Linked DNA regions of Anolis sagrei. The protein of the gene in region 2 purifies or fractionates together with the protein of the main gene of each other region. This does not show direct contact. Links are inferred from orthologs where the notes say so. Each region holds a gene or a part of one and is shown on either strand. Other genes may lie near its edges. The genes, in order: UBXN2A and PPP1R7.

Region 1 (8,329 bases), on a different chromosome or scaffold from region 2:
GAGACCAAAGGGTTCAGAGAGAGTTGACTTTGGAATATGGGAGTTGTAGTTCACCCTTATCCAGAGAACACTGAACCCAGACGACGACGGATCTGGACCAAATTTGGCACACAGACCCAACATGGCCAACTGTGAATACTGGCAAAGTTTAGGGAGGATTGATCCATGATTTTGGGAATTGTAGTTCACCCACCTCCTTATGCATTTTCGAATGACAGCATTCATTTTTAAAAAAGCAAAGATTTGCTTTTTTCTAATAGCATTAAAACTTACCTAAGTGATATTACCTAACATTCAAAAACGAACAATGCCTTTTTGAAACAACCCGAGCATTGCTATTATATTATATAAGAGCCAAGATCAAAACATACAATCAGCACAGTCCTCAGAAGAAACAGATTTCCTGACCTATTTGGAGACCACAAAGTTGAATTCAACAATGACACGCACACTCATACACATACACAGTGCGAGTGTATGTTCTTCAATCTTAATTCCATCCCTTAAAACTGATCCAAAAATGAGTGTTGGACTATGACTCTGGAAACTTGGCTATGGAAACCCACTGGTGACCTTGAGCAAGTCACACTCTCTCAGCCTCAGGGGAAGGCAAAGGTCACACATTTTGCCAAGAAGTCCCCTTGATAGTGTTGCCACTGAACACAAAACAACAACAAATGCCATGCCCATTTGACAGAAACACTGAATTCCACAGAACTAGTATTGTGAGTGCCATCGACCAACAGATCACTGTGCCTCACTGTGCGGTTTTTTGTCTCACTGTGAGGTTGATAAGGGCTTAATAATAATTACCAGACCATTAATCACATTGAGGTCACTTCTTCCCAAGACTAATCGATCCCTGCTCTACTGGGGGTCTGTTTATAAGCAAACAGGCTTTGGGTCAGACTGCTTTTGGTTTAAGTGATGCCATTATTCAACAGGCGAGAAGGATGGTGCGACTTATGGCGGCCCCATTAATTTAACAGGGTTTTATTTGGGGCCCTTCTATACTGACATATAATCCAGATTATCAAAGCAGATAATCCACAATATCTGCTTTGAACTGGTTTATCTGAGGGCCCTTCCACACAGCACTATATTCCAGAATATCAAGGCAGGAAATCTCATATTATCTGAGTGTGGACTCAGATAACCCAGTTCAAAGCAGATATTATGGGATTTTCTGCCTTGATATTCTGGGGTATAGGGCCGTGTGGACCCTGAATCCACACTGCAATATATTCCTGTTCAAAGCAGGTAATGTGGGATTTTATTCAGCTGTGTAGAAGGGGCCTTAGACAAGGAATACTAAGATATGGTGTTGGCAACTCCTTCCTCTGAAAGACAGCCTGGTATTCGTTGCCCATCTCCCATCCAAGCCTTAACCAGGGATAAGCCATCTTATGTTCCAAGATCAGATGGGATCTGCTCCCTTACAATGGAAAGCCAGTTTCAGGCAGAATCAGAATCCCCTTTGAACTTTGATGGAATTTGAGCCCATATAGAATTCAGATTATCTGCTCTGAACTGGATTGGATGGCAGTGTAAACTCATATAATCCAGTTCAAAGCAGATGTGGATTGTCTGCTCTGATAGTCTGGATTATAAAGCAGCATAGAAGGGACCTCAGTCTGACCATATGCCTGTGTTTCCTAAAACTCTGGTCCTCCCAGTGCTTGGACTTCAACTCCCAGGATCCCTGAACAAGCTGGCTGGGGATTCTGGGAGTTGAAGTCCCAAACCTTGCAGGCCTAAAGGCTGGGAATCACTGCAGGAGGCCAACAGCATTGGGATCAAAACAACTGCAGAAGAGAATAGCTTCAGTCTGGGTATTTCCACACAGCCCTATATCCCAGAATATCAAGGTGGAAAATCCCACTATATCTGCTTTGGACTTGGTTATCTCAGTCCACACTCAAATAATGTGGGATTTTCCACCTTGATATTCTGGAATATAGGACTGTGTGGAAGGGCCCTTGGTTGCCCAAAGGTGGAGTTTGACACCACTTTAACTACCATGGCTAAGCCCTGTCTAAACTGCCATAAAAATCCAGATGATCTGCTTTGAACTGGATTATATGGTAGGGTAGATTCAGACCCCTTCCACACAGCTGAATAAAATCCCACATTTTCTGCTTTGAACTGGAATATATGGCAATGTGGACTCAGATAACCCAGTTCAAAGCAGATATTGTGGGTTATTCTATGTTGATGTTCTGGGTTACATGGCTGTGTGGAAGGGTCCTGGGATATTGGGCAGTGTAGATCCAGCCTAATAATAATAATAATAATAATAATAATAATAATAATAATAAATCCTAGACACTTGGGAAGTGTCCAAAGTGTGATCCAATTCAACAGCCAGCAGAGTGTCTGCTGAGGACTCATCTTGTTGTGTTTCAAATAACAACAACAACAACAACAACAATAATGGGTAAAGGTTTACCCTTGACATTGGGGCCTCTTCCACACAGCTGAACCAAATTATTTGCTTTTAACTGGTATATATGTCAGTATGGACTCAGATAACTCAGTTCAAAGCAGATATAGTGGGACTTTCTTGATATTATGGGATATATGGCTGTGTGGAAGGGCCCCATGAAAGAGCTTCTTCTGAATCCCACCCTTGGAAGAGATACAGGTCTACACTGCCATATAAAATCCAGTTTATCAAAGCAGACAACACACATGATCTGCTTTGAACTGGATTATATGAGTCTACACTGCCATATAATCCAGTTCAAGGCAGATATAATCAGGATGGCATACTTTGATACTCTAAATTATATAGCAGTGTAGATCCAGCCTCAGTGCTACAGACTCCTGGGGATTATTGTTTGGAGGGAAGGCTAAAAGGGCCTTGCAGAACTACAGCTCCCATAGTATGGAGTTAAAGCGGTGTCAAACTGCATTAGAGTGTAGAAGATGCACCTAGAAGGCAGCGTGGGGGCTGACTTTGGAGTCAATAAGGATAGTTTCAAGAAATGTCCCCAAATCTTTGGAATCGTTTGCAAACCCTCCTTGCCCAAGATGATGACCCTGCTCCAGCCTTGCGCCATGGCGGGGCGAGGGACGCCCCTTTCCTAAACCCTTTCCAACAACTTGGCCGCAGATCGGGACTCCCTCCAAGGCTGTTTCCCCTCCACCCCCGGCTCCTTCCCAAATCCGAAGAGTCTCCCCCAAATCCAGACTTACCACCCCCAAAACACCAGAGTTTCACCAGCGGCGAGGCAGCCTCTCAATTGCACTGCGTTGCCGGTAGGCGCGCTTGGCTTCCCGCCCACAAAAGGGGCGGGGCGCCGGGGAAGGAGCGGATTGGCTCCAGCGGGCACGTCACCTGCCACTCATCGCCCTTCCCGCCTGAGATGCAAATTAGCTACATAATAACACAATTTGCTCATGCCTGGTGTAGAAGCATCCAAAGATAAGCAAAAAAGATGCAAGTTAGTTGTACATAACACAGTTTGCTCATGCCTGGTGTAGACGCATCCTAAGATAGATAGCAACATTGGAAAAAATGTTCTGTTCCTGGTTTGAAAGTCTTATTTCCTGTTTATTTGTGTGGCACTTACTTTGAAAGTAGTTGTTCTACTCCAGAAACTTTGTTTTTGTAGTTGCCATAAACTAGGTTGAATTGGTTAGGACTCAGTGAGATACTCATTGAAAAACTATAGCAAAAAGTACTTAAAGTTTTCACAGTGTAATGAACTTTCCGCATGTTTTTATGATAGAACCAATTAGGAACCAATTAAGAAATTACATTTATAACCTAGGAACAAAAATCGTGCAATCTGGATTTTATATGGCAGTGTAGATGTTGTTGTTCTTTCGTTCAGTCGTTTCCGACTCTTTGTGACCTCATGGACCAGCCCACACCAGAGCTCCCTGTCGGCCGTCACCTCCCCCAGCTCCTTCAAGGTCAGTCCAGTCACTTCAAGGATGCCATCCATTCATATTGCCCTTGCTCGGCCCCTCTTCCTTTTTCCTTCCATTTTCCCCAGCATCATTGTTTTCTCTAAGCTTTCCTGTCTCCTCAAGATGTGGCCAAAGTACTTCAACTTTGCCTCTACTATCCTTCCCTCCAACGGGCAGTCGGGCTTTATTTCCTGAAGTATGGACTGGTTAGATCTTCTTGCGATCCAAGACACTCTCACAACTTTCCTCCAGCACCACAGTTCAATAGCATCTATCTTCCTTCACTCAGCCTTCCCTATGATCCAAGATGAGGCTTAGAATGAGCCAATAAACTCCTCTGGTGTCTGTGGGCCCTGTTGCACTACAGAACAGGAATAACCCTCTGACTTCAAAACACCACACGTTGAGTAGGAAAACAATCCTTTTTATTGAAGATAAGTAAAAGCAGCAAGGTAAAAAAAAACACTTTAAGAGAATAGATAAATCCAATTAGGTAGGAAGATAAGCAGGAACAAATTATTCCAAGGTAGGGTTCAGCAAAGTTCAAAACAAAGTCCAGACTTCTCTAATAAAATCCAAAGAACCAGGAAAACATTGATCCGAAACACGAGTATTTAATCACAAGAGATAAAGAGTCAAACCATAAACAAGAAATCCTTAAACATTAATCTTCCAAGCAAGGCTTCCATAAGACAAGAGCAAGAACTTAGCAGGATTCGAAAATGATGCTTCATTTGACTATATTTCCCACGGTTGGAACATTATATCCCCTCGTTAAGCCATTCTAAGTACTCAGAAATTGGTTTTGTTTTCCCTGAATGCCTCTCATCCTTCTCTCTCAAAGCCTGGCAGAACGGCGAAAGCCTTGGCCAAGCTGTCTGTTTTGGCTAATTTTCACGCGGCTGTCTACCTGCTCATTCGTTTCTCCAGCTGCCAAGTTGTTTTCAAGCCCCAAATCCTGGGAACTCTCCGGGAGCAATTCAGGGAGTAAACTATCATCCCTATACCCCGTAGGAACATTCTCATGGGAAACTACACTTTGAACCAGTGTCACTATGTTATTCTCTGCATTAATATCATTGACCAGACCATCGCCATCTTGACTCTCATTGACATCATTTCCCACATATAAAGCACCTTGATCTTGAAACACAATCACAGGCTGTACTCCAACAGACCCTTCCACACAGCCATCTAACACAGAATATTGTGGCGTAATGTAAAATAAATCACATGTAGTTCACATTTCATCAGTCCACACATATGCCACACAGGTGATCAACAAAAGAACAAGCAGTTTACTCTTCGTAATTCAGAACAACATATTTATAATAATGTGATCAGTTGCATCGACTCACATACTGTCCTTAAATGAGAGGTTTAAAATGGTCTTTATTTGTTCATGTGGAGAATTTTCCTCCAGCAGTTTAAGAAGCAAGAGCACACTCCAGAATTCTCTCTCTCTCTCTGCTTCTCTGCAAGCATTTGCATAGCTCAAGCCTGAAAATGTAACAGTATCCAAAAGTCCCAGGCTCAGCCAGCTTCCCGGGCATAGCCCGACCAATAATCAATCAACCAAGCAAGGCAGAAAATCCTACAATATCTATTTCAAACTGGATTATCGAGTCAATACTGCCATATAATCCAGTTCAGTGTGGATTTTATACAGCTCTTTGGAAGGGGCCTCAGATAAACCAGCTCAGAGCAGATATAATGTGGATTATCTGCTTTGATTATTTGGATTATATGGCAGTGTAGAAGGGGCCTTGGTGGACAGAGTGGAAAGACCTGCATTTGTGTTAAATAGTCCACAATACAGCGAGGGCTGCAGTGTTATTTGAAAGCCCCATTACCTTGGATTCATTGAAAAAAACAACAGGGGTAAAAAATGCAAACAGTATTTTTTGTTCAGCCTCCTAAATGTTATATATGACCATTTTCTTTATACAGGGTGTATGGAGATGCTGAATTTGATTCCACACTTGATAAAAATTGCCAACAGTAAGAAAAATGTAGGAACTCTTTTGAGCCTATAAGCTATTTTCTGGACATCATTTATTGTACCTGGAAAATCACAGTGACATGAGAGCCACTGAATGAATGTACAGTGTTTGGTTAACTGCAAAATTTCCGCTGAGATCAACAGCGATAAGGAAAGGATTTAGCAGAGTAGCGGAATTTTCCTTCCCACAATGACTCATATATGAACATGTGCTTTATGGCTTTTCAGCAATGGTTGAATACTGCATGTATGAAATGTTAATATTATTCTTAGAGTTCATTCTGTTTTAGCCCTGCAAAGGAGGAAAGGTGAGGTAAAAACACCTATAAATTTTAAGGGAGGATATAAATAATAATAATAATAATAATAATAATAATAATAATAATAATAATAATGGTTATTGGAGTATGTATTTAATCGGAAAAGCAATTGATAACCCTGAAACTCAGGCGCCTTCTACACTGCCATATAATCTGGATTATCAAATCAAATAATCCACATTGCTTTGAACTGGATTATATGAGTCTACCCTGCCATATAATCCAGTTCAAAGCAGATTTTATCTGGATTTTATATGGCAGTGTAGATGGGGCAATATGGAAGATTCTCAGATCCCTTCTACACCACCATATAATCCATATTATCAAAACAAATAATCCACATTGTCTGCTTTGAACTGGATTGATTACTTACTTATTTACTTAGGCAATCCTTCGTTGGCCGAGTAGGATAGTAATCTAGGATCAATATTCTTGTGGATCCATAGGTGACTGTGGAGCCCTATTCTTGCCCCGCATCTTCTCCCGCAGTGAGGGCATTGGTTTCCAGGTGGAAGGCAGTCTCGGTCAGGGTTGCTTGATGTGCCTTCCTCTTGGCACGTTTCTCTCTTTCACCCTCAATTCGTGCCGCTTCAAATTCTGCAGCACTGCTGGTCACAGCTGACCTCCAGCTGGAGCCCTCAAGGGCCAGGGCTTCCCAGTTCTCAGTGTCTATGCTAGAGTTTTAAAGGTTGGTTTTAAGCCCATCTTTGAATCTCTTTTCCTGTCCACCAACATTCCGTTTTCCGTTCTTGAGTTCGGAGTAGAGCAGCTGCTTTGGGAGACGGTGGTCAGGCATCCGGACATCCAGCGGAGTTGGTGGCGGAGGACCATTGCTTCGATGCTGATGGTCTTTGCTTCTTCCAGCATGACATTTGTCCACCTGTCTTCCCAAGAGATTTGCAGGATTTTTCAGAGGCAGTGCTGATGGAATCATTCCAGGAGTTGCATGTGACGTCTATAGATAATCCACGTTTCGCAGGCATATAGCAGGGTTGGGAAAACAATAGCTTTATAACCAAGCACCTTGGTATCCCTACGGATGTCCTGGTCCTCAAACACTCTCTGCTTCATTCAGAAAAATGTTGCACTCGCAGAGCTCAAGCGGTGTTGTATTTCGGTGTCGATGTTGACTTTGGTGGAGAGGTAGCTGCCAATCTGGATTTTATATGTCAGTATAGAAGGGGCCTCACCACAGTCAATGTAGGCATCTTCTACACTGCCATATAATCCAGATTATCAAATCAGAAATCCACATTTTCTGCTTTGAACTGGATTATTTGAGTCTACACTGCTATATAATCCAGTTCAAAGCGGATAATCTGGATTTTAAAAGGCAGAGTAGAAGGGGCCTCAATGACTTTTCCAACTGGTCAGGGATTAATTCCTTTTTGAGTGGAAGGCTTTATTATTGGCCAGGAAGGATGGCCCCTGGGTGATTATGCCAACTGCCTGGAGAGATAATGGGATTAGGCCAGGGTTCCCCAGGGTTGGTGCTTGTGTAACTGTGTACTTGGGTCAAAGCTTGTCTTTGGATGTCAGATGGGCTGCATTTTTTGGGGGAAAGTTAATCCTGAGATGTCAGCCAGTTGGACCCCTCATGACATCTTTCTTGGCCATGGGTTTTGGGGTCTTTTGGGGGTCTCAGGTTTCAATAACATGCCCTCTAGTACCTCTTCACCAGGACCATCACCCTGTCATGGTGATCGGGCTTGCGCGTTCCAGTTAATCTATGGATTAAGCCGTTGGGGGTCATGTACTGGTCAGCACCCAGCAGAAGTCAACCACAGAACCATGCTGGATGACCAAGGGAAGATCAACTGCAGAATTCCTGCATTTTGGAACCAAATGGTTCAATACTATGTAATCATGGGAGTTGTCATGTTACAAGGTCTTTAGCCTTCTCTGTCAAAGACTGTTGGGGCCTCATCAAACTACAATCTCAGGATTCCAAAGCATTGTGCCTTGGAAGTTAGTGGTATCAAGCTGCATTAATGCTATAGTGTGTAGACACAGCAGTATAGACCGATCTATTTCAGTTCAAAGCGGATAATCTGGGATCAGATTCTGGGATTTAGGGCAGTGTAGATCC
Region 2 (8,250 bases):
CATGGGCAAACTTAGGTCCTCCAGGTGTCTTGGACTTCAACTCCCACAATTCCTAACAGTCGGCTGTTAGGAAATGTGGGATTTGAAGTCCAAAACTCCGGGAGGGCTGAAGTTTTCCCATGCCTGGTAGAGGGTTCAATTTGGGAAGCAACTCATGGGAAATAAAGAAGAATCAGCAAAGGACTATAAAAGATGGGTAGGAGTTGCCTTAGCTATGAGTCAGTAGCTGCTAAAGTTGACATTCTAGGAGGCAGTGAATTGTGTGACTTCGGGCGAAGCTGTCAAATGCAGCTTCTTCCTAAAAATCTTCCCCAGGTGCACCTACACTGGAGAATTAATGCAGTCTGGCTGCTCTTTAGCAGCCTCATCTCAATGGTATGGAATCATGCGATTTGTAGTTTTATGCAGTCATTAATTTTTTAACTCGCATCTTGTGTTCGCTATATTTTAATCTTTGTTCTGTGTATTTTAAGATATGTATTTCTTTTTCTTTCTTTTTTTGTCGTGTCAGGAGCATCCTGTTGTGAGAGAATTGGCCGTCTGCAAGGACGTTGCCCAGGGGACGCCCGGATGATTTTTGATGTTTTATCATCCTTGTGGGAGGCTTCTCTCATGTCCCCGCATGAGGAGCTGGAGCTGATAGAGGGAGCTCATCCACCTGTCCCAGGATTCGAACCTGCGACCTGTCGGTCTTCAGTCCTGCTGGCACAGGGCTTTAACCCAGTGCGCCACCGGGGGCTCCTATGTATTTCATTGAACTATGTTTCAATATATGTATTTTACGTAATGGTTGTGTGTTCTTATCTGTGCTGTAACCTGCCATTACAGCAGGTAAGAAATAACAACAACAACAATTACAACAACAACAAGTATTCTAGTTTGGGAAAGCACCAACACTCCTTCACAGAGAAGGATAATAATAATAATAATAATAATAATAATAATAAGCCATTATCAAGACCTCAAAATCAAAGTGCAAAGGCTCTGGCATAAACCAGTACAGGTGGTCCCAGTGGTTATCGGCACACTGGGTGCTGTGCCAAAAGATCTCAGCTGGCATTTGGAAATAATAAACATTGACAAATTCACAATCTGTCAATTGCAAAAGACCACTTTACTTAAATCTGCACGCAACATTCGAAAATACATCACACAGTCCTAGACGCTTGGGAAGTGTTCAACTTGTGATTTTGTGATACAAAATCCAGCATATATATCTCGTTTGCTGTGACATACTGTTTTTGTGTCAGTAAAATAATAATAATAATAATAATGTTTATTATTCATAATAACGGTGGTCCCAGTGGTGATTGACAAACTGGGTGCAGTGCCTAAAGACCTTGACCAGCACTTAAAAACAATTGGCGCTGACAAAATCACCATCTGCCAACTAAAAGGTCACCCAACTCAGATCTGCATGCATTATTTGCCGATACATCACATAGTCCAAGACACTTGGGAAGTGTCCAAGGTGTGATCCAATACAAAAGCCAGCATAGTGATCATGTTTGCTGTGTACTAATCTTGTTGTGTATCAAATAGTAATAAGTTTTATTTATATCCCACCTCCTCTCCCGGAAGGAACTCAGGACGGTTTAAACAGTTTAACAGTAACAGTTAAAACAAAACATAGGTCAAATTAACATAACTTAAAATAGATCAATTGCAATTACTGAAAACATATAAATACACAACATATTATCATCATCCTAGTAATCCTTCTTTGAAAAGAGTGCTGGTGTTTCCTCAAACTGGGGGCCCTTCCACACAGCCCTATATCCCAGAATATCAAGCCAGAAAATCTCACAATATCTGCTTTGAACTAGGTTATCCGAGTCCACACTCAGATAATGTGGGATTTCCTGCCTTGATATTCTGGGGTATAGGGCTGTGTGGAAGGGTCCTGGAAATCCTAGGATTCTATAGCATTGAGCCAGGAGAGTTGAAGTGGTCTCAAACTGCATTAATTCTGCAGTGGGGATGCGCCCGAAATGCAGAAACAGCAACAGCAGAAGAAACAACAGGAGTACTATCTACCTAATGCAAGGAGAACTACTGCATTTCTCTTTAAGTAGAGAAGGATTAATTAAGCCCTTGCAAAACTCCGGCTCCCAGGCTGTCATAGAATTGAGTCATTAACAGTTGAAGTGATGTCAAAACGCATCGATTCTACAGTGTAGACCAGGTATGGGCAAACTTGGGCCTTCCTCCAGGTGTTTTGGACTCCAACTCCCACCATTCCTAACAGCCTCAGGTCCTTTCCTTTTCCCCCTCAGCCGCTTAAGCAGCTGAGGGGGAAAAGGAAAAGACCTGAGGCTGTTAGGAATGGTGGGAGTTGGAGTCCAAAACACCTAGAAGGCCCAAGTTTGCCCATGCATGATGTAGAGATGGTGGCAGGCAATGAAAGGAGCTGCCCCAGCACAAAAATGCAGAATTAAAGCGGGTTAATCTCGCTAGAACAGCCATGGCTCAATGCTATGTGATGCTGGGAGTTGTAGTTTAGTGAGGCACTGGCCCTCTTTGGCAGAGAAGCCTAAAGGTCTTACTAAACTCCTATGATCCCACAGCATTGAGCCATTGTGGCTAAAGCGGTGTCAACCCTCATTAATTTCACAGTACAGATGCACCCTCGCTCCCATCTGAGGCCTCTTCCACACAGCTGTACAAAATCCACATTGAACTGTATTATCTGGCAGTGTGGACTCAGATAACCCAGTTCAAAGCAGATAATGTTGATATTCTGGGTTCTATGGCTGTGTGGAAGGGCCCTGGGTCTCCACTGCCTGATAATCTGGAATAAGAAGACAATCTGGGATGAGATCCTGGGACAGAGGCAGCATGCACTCACCCTCCATCATCTCCTGCGCGCCCTCAGACTCAGCCGCCGCCATAACGCTTGGCAGTCCCTCCTCCTCCTCCTTCCGGCATCGGCCCCAGTTTCGCGGGCAGCCAATGGGAAGCCACATCGGGGAGGGCTCCAGCCAATCGGGAGCGCCACTTCGCCGCAGAGGTTCCCTTGGGAGTGCCGGCGCATGCGCGGAGCCCCGCCGCCCCATGGGAAATGTAGTTTTTCTTTCCCAGGGATTTCAAGGCTGGTGGTGGGATTCAGTAGCAAGGAGCCAAGCATTGTCGCCTCTTGCATAGCGTGAAAGGGTTTAAATCACCAAAATATATATTATATTATATGGTACTGTAATATAAAGTAAAGGAGGGGGATTACATTAGTAACATACCATGGGAAGATCATCAGCTCCTACTAGCGATGCTTCTTGCTCCAGATATTGGGATTTTGGTGGATGGTTTGTACGTGCGATTGATGGGGACATCTAGGATTTTTTTCCTGTTCTGGTGTTAATGTTTTTTTATTCTGTTGTTTCTCATTGCCATACAGAGCAGACTCTCAGGCCACTTCCTCACAGCTGAATAAGATCCTATATTTGTTTGTTTGTTTGTTTATTTACTATATTTGTATACCGCCTTTCTCAGCCTGTGGGCATGCTGGTCGCTTCTGTGGTGAGAGAATCAGCCGTCTACAAAGACGTTGCCCAGGGGACGCCCGGATGTCTTGCAATCCTGCGAGGAGGCTTCTCTCAGCCAGCACGTCAACGACTTAAATCTAGACATAGTTTTCTAAGATCTACAGAGACACTCGCTGGAATACCTCAGCAAGTGAGAGTCCAAAAGTGGAGGCTCAAACCCAGAACCTCAACCAATGGCTGATACCAAATGAGAGACTCCCCCCTGGGCACACAGAGGACTCAGCGACTTGGAAGGCGCTGAACAGACTGCGCTCTGGCACCACGAGATGCAGAGCCAACCTTCAGAAATGGGGCTACAAAGTGGAATCCTCGACATGCGAGTGCAGAGAGGAGCAAACCACTGACCACCTGCTGCAAATGCAACCTGAGCCTTGCCACATGCACAATGGAGGACCTCCTTGCGGCAACATCAGAGGCACTCCAAGTGGCCAGATACTGGTCAAAGGACATTTAATCAACTACCAAACTCACAAATTTTGTATTATGTCTGTTTGTTTGCTTTGTTCTGTTAGAAATGTAATATAATTGACTGGCTGTTCTGACACGAAATAATAATAATAAAAAGCCTGTGGGCGACATGTTCTGGTGTTAATGTTTTTTTTTTATGCTGTTGTTTCTCATTGCCATATAGAGCAGATTCTCAGGCCCCTTCCACACAGCTGAAAAAAAAATCCCACATTTATTTATTGGTTGTTTGTTTGTTTATTTATTTACTATATTTGTATACCGCCTTTCTCAGCCCGTGGGCGACTCATGGCGGTTTACAGAGGCAAAATTCAATGCCCAAACAACATAAAACATTTAAAACATTAACATATTAAAAAGATCTTGATCCTCGTGGACAACAAGTTAAGCATGAGCCAACAATGTGATGTGGCAGCAAAAAAAGCCAATGGGATTTTGGCCTACATCAATAGGAGCATAGTGTCTAGATCAGGGGTGCACAAACTTTTTAAACAGAGGGCCAGGTCACAGTCCTTCAAACTGTTGGAGGGCCGAATTATAATTTAGAAAAAAATGAATGAATTCCTATGCACACTGCACATATCTTATTTGTAATGCAAAAAAACCTTAAAAACAATACAATAATTAAAATGAAGAACAATTTTAACAAATACAAATTTATTAGTATTTCAATGGGAAGTGTGGGCCTGCTTTTGGCTGATGAGATAGGATTGTTGTTGTTGTGTGCTTTCAAATCATTACAGACTTAGGTTGACCCTAAGCGAGGGCCGGGTAAATGACCTTGGAGTGCCGCATTCGGCCCCTGGGACTTAGTTTGAGGACCCCTGGTCTAGATCTAGGGAAGTAATGCTACCCCTCTATTCTGCCTTGGTTAGACCACACCTGGAATATTGTGTCCAATTCTGGGCACCACAATTCAAGAGAGATATTGACAAGCTGGAATGTGTCCAGAGGAGGGTGACTAAAATGATAAAAGGTCTGGAGAACAAGCCCTATGAGGAGCGGCTTAAGGAGCTGGGCATGTTTAGCCTGAAGAAGAGAAGGCTGAGAGGATACATGATAGCCATGTATAAATATGTGAGAAGAAGCCACAGGGAGGAGGGAGCAAGCTTGTTTTCTGCTTCCCTGGAGACTTGGACATGAAACAATGGCTTCAAACTACAAGAAAGGAGATTCCATCTGAACATGAGGAAGAACTTCCTGACTGTGAGAGCCGTTCAGCAGTGGAACTCTCTGCCCCGGAGTGTGGCGGAGGCTCCTTCTTTGGAAACTTTTAAACAGGCTGGATGGCCATCTGTCAGGGATGCTTTGAATGCAATATTCCTGCTTTTTGGCAGGGGGTTGGACTGGATGACCCATGAGGTCTCTTCCAACTCTAGGATTCTATGATTCTATATAATATATAATCATAATAAGATCAATAAAACATTTCCGTCTCCTAGTTAAAAACAAGGTCCAGTCTTGTCATCCAATCGTTCCATATTCCTATGTCTATTACACTGCCTTAAAGATTTCCAAACACTTGCTCAAACAGCCAGGTCTTAACTTTCCTCCGGAATGTTAAAAGCGAGGGGTCTGATCTGATGTCCTTTGGAAGGGTGTTCCAGAGCTGAGGGGCTACCACTGAGAAGGCCCTGTCTCTCACCCCGCCAAATGTATTTGTGACGCAGGCAGGATCGAGAGCAGGGCCTCCCCAGATGATCTTAACGTCCTAGTTGGTTCATAGGAGGAGATGCATTTGGACAGGTAAGTTGGGCTTTATAGGCTAAAGCCAGCACTTTGAATTGTGCCCAAAGCAAACTGGCAGCCAGTGGAGCTGGCACAACAGAGGAGTAGTATGCTCCCCGAGCGCCGCTTCTGTTAGTAACATTATCTGCTTTGAACTGGAATATAGAATTATAGAGTTGGAAAAGACCTCATGGCCCATCCAGTCCAACCTCCTGCCAAGAAGCAGGAAAATCACATTCAAAGCACCCCTGACAGATGGCCATCCAGCCTCTGCTTAAAATCCTCCAAAGAAGGAGCTTCCATCACAGTCCAAGGCAGAGAGTTCCACTGCTGAAAAGCTCTCACACTCAGGAAGTTCTTCCTAATGTTCAGGTGGAATCTCCTTTCCTGTAGTTTTGTTATGGCTGATAGGAGAGATAATACCAAGAGCGATCCTTTGTTTGAGGCGGAAAAGGTATGTTTATTTTCAGCTGAGACCCTGGCGTGGAATCACGTCCAAAAGCCAACTAGAGCCCCAATAAAGGATTGACTTTACCTTATATACATCTTCAAATGCAGGTAAACAAAGAAACATGCTTCTACATACATAAAATCATCACTATGTCACTTTTGCATCATAGACATATAAAATTATATCTTCCTACATGCAAGGGGCATGTCTCTATATTTTTTTTCTAAAGCAGCTTACAGCAATAGAGATAACTAGAATTCAGCTTACATAGATCCACCAGGGGCTTACTTTTGACCTGTCAGGAGGGAGGGAGAGAAACTCCTTACTTTTAGAAGTAAGAAGATATGGCCTGTGCTAAGCTATATTAGTCTTTGTAGTGTATAGATAACATACCCCCCCTTCTCCTCCCCTTTCAACACAGATCTCCTTCAGCATTCCTCTGTCCTGTCAGCTTGGCTTCCTCATACAGAGAGAACCTGATTTTTCTATACTTCAGTGCTTCTAATGTATATACAATATATGTATAAATATCTATATTCCCAATATCTCGACATCCATTTGAAGCCATTGTTCTGCGTCCTAGTCTCCAGGCCGGCAGAAAACAAGTGTGCTCCCTCCTCCCTATGACCTCTCCTCACATATGGATACATGGCCTTCATCATGTCTCCTCTCAGCCTTCTCTTCTGTAGGCTAAACATGCCCAGCTCTTTAAACCTCTCCTCATAGGGCTTGTTCTCTAGACCCTTGATCATTTTAGTTGCCCTCCTCTGGACACGTTATATGGCAGTGTGGACCCAGATAACCCAGTTCAAAGCCGATATTGTGGGATTTTTTTATGTCTTGATATTCTGGGTTATATGGCTGTGTGGAAGTGCCCTCAGTTAATACGCACCCATGCCGGATAAATATAGTTTCTGGTTGGTTGAGAGTTATATATTTAAAAGGCTCACCATACTATACCAATGCCATAAACTCTGTATTGACTTCATGTTGAAATACAGTAATTAGAAGCAAATAAAAGACAAACTCAATAGAACACAATTTTACTGTTTTTACTGTGTTATAAATTGCCTTTATTTGCTTTTATAATTAATTCTATTTATTTTATTATCATTTTGCCATTTGCTTGAGTGCCGTTTAAATGAGAGCCTACTATATATTACATTCATGCATTTATGGATAAGCCTGTCTAAAAAGCATAAGGGCCCTTCCATGAAGGCATATAACCCAGGATATCAAGACAGAAAATCCCACAATATCTGCTTTGAACTGGGTTATCTGAGTCCACACTGCCATATATTCCAGTTCAAGGCAGATAATGTGGGATTTTATGCAACTGTGTGAAAAGGGCCTAAGAAAGAGTCAGATTAAAAATGAGCTGCTTCCAAAAAAAGGGAGACAGAATGAAGGCTTTTCTTGGCTATCCTACTCTCAGTGATGGAAACAATAGTGGCATTCTGCCATTGAATATGGATGCATTGGTATGCATACTCTATACACTCAGGATGTGCTTGCACTGTAGGTTTAATGCAGTTTGGCCACATTTTAACTGCTATGGATCAGTACTACAGAATCATGAGAGCTGTCGTTTTATAAAATATGTTTTCCTTCTCCAAAGTAGGATGGTACCAAATTACAATTCCCAGGACTCCATAGTATTGATCCATGGCAGTTAAATTGGTGCCAAATGGCATTAATTCTGCAGAGTAGATGTGCCCAAAGTCATACTGCTTTTGACTAATTCCCTTTTTAAAAATTTTACAAGCCTGTAATAATAATAATAATAATAATAATAATAATAATGAGAAGAAAGCCCTGCTTCTCGAGATTGAATGTTATTTTCTTATATATTCTGCCTCTTTGGAAAAAAGCAGAGATACCAGTTTAGGAGTGATATATTTTTAAAATTGGATCTTTGTTTGCTTGAATGTTTAAACTTTTATGTGAAATATATAATAACATGCATTGTGTCATTTTAAATATTAGTTTGCTAATAATAAAAAAATATTTAAACCATATTTACTACCGTATTTTATCATCTGTGACAAATTTCCGTAATCAAGTACT

The links.
Region 1: the proteins of PPP1R7 (region 2) and UBXN2A purify together in Homo sapiens (affinity purification with mass spectrometry; 3 studies listed by BioGRID and IntAct, counting the BioPlex papers as one, with this or other methods). This does not show direct contact. The link is inferred for Anolis sagrei from reciprocal best matches to the Homo sapiens genes PPP1R7 and UBXN2A.

What each region holds. Positions count from the first base shown.
Region 1 is NC_090021.1:139,271,603-139,279,931, reverse strand, and holds the start of UBXN2A (UBX domain-containing protein 2A), read right to left. Parts: upstream 3,276-8,329; 5' UTR 3,199-3,275; intron 1-3,198. UniProt on the Homo sapiens protein: Acts to repress the ubiquitination and subsequent endoplasmic reticulum-associated degradation of CHRNA3 by the STUB1-VCP-UBXN2A complex in cortical neurons.
Region 2 is NC_090023.1:227,043,470-227,051,719, forward strand, and holds the start of PPP1R7 (protein phosphatase 1 regulatory subunit 7), read right to left. Parts: upstream 3,057-8,250; coding exon 2,849-3,056; intron 1-2,848. UniProt on the Homo sapiens protein: Regulatory subunit of protein phosphatase 1.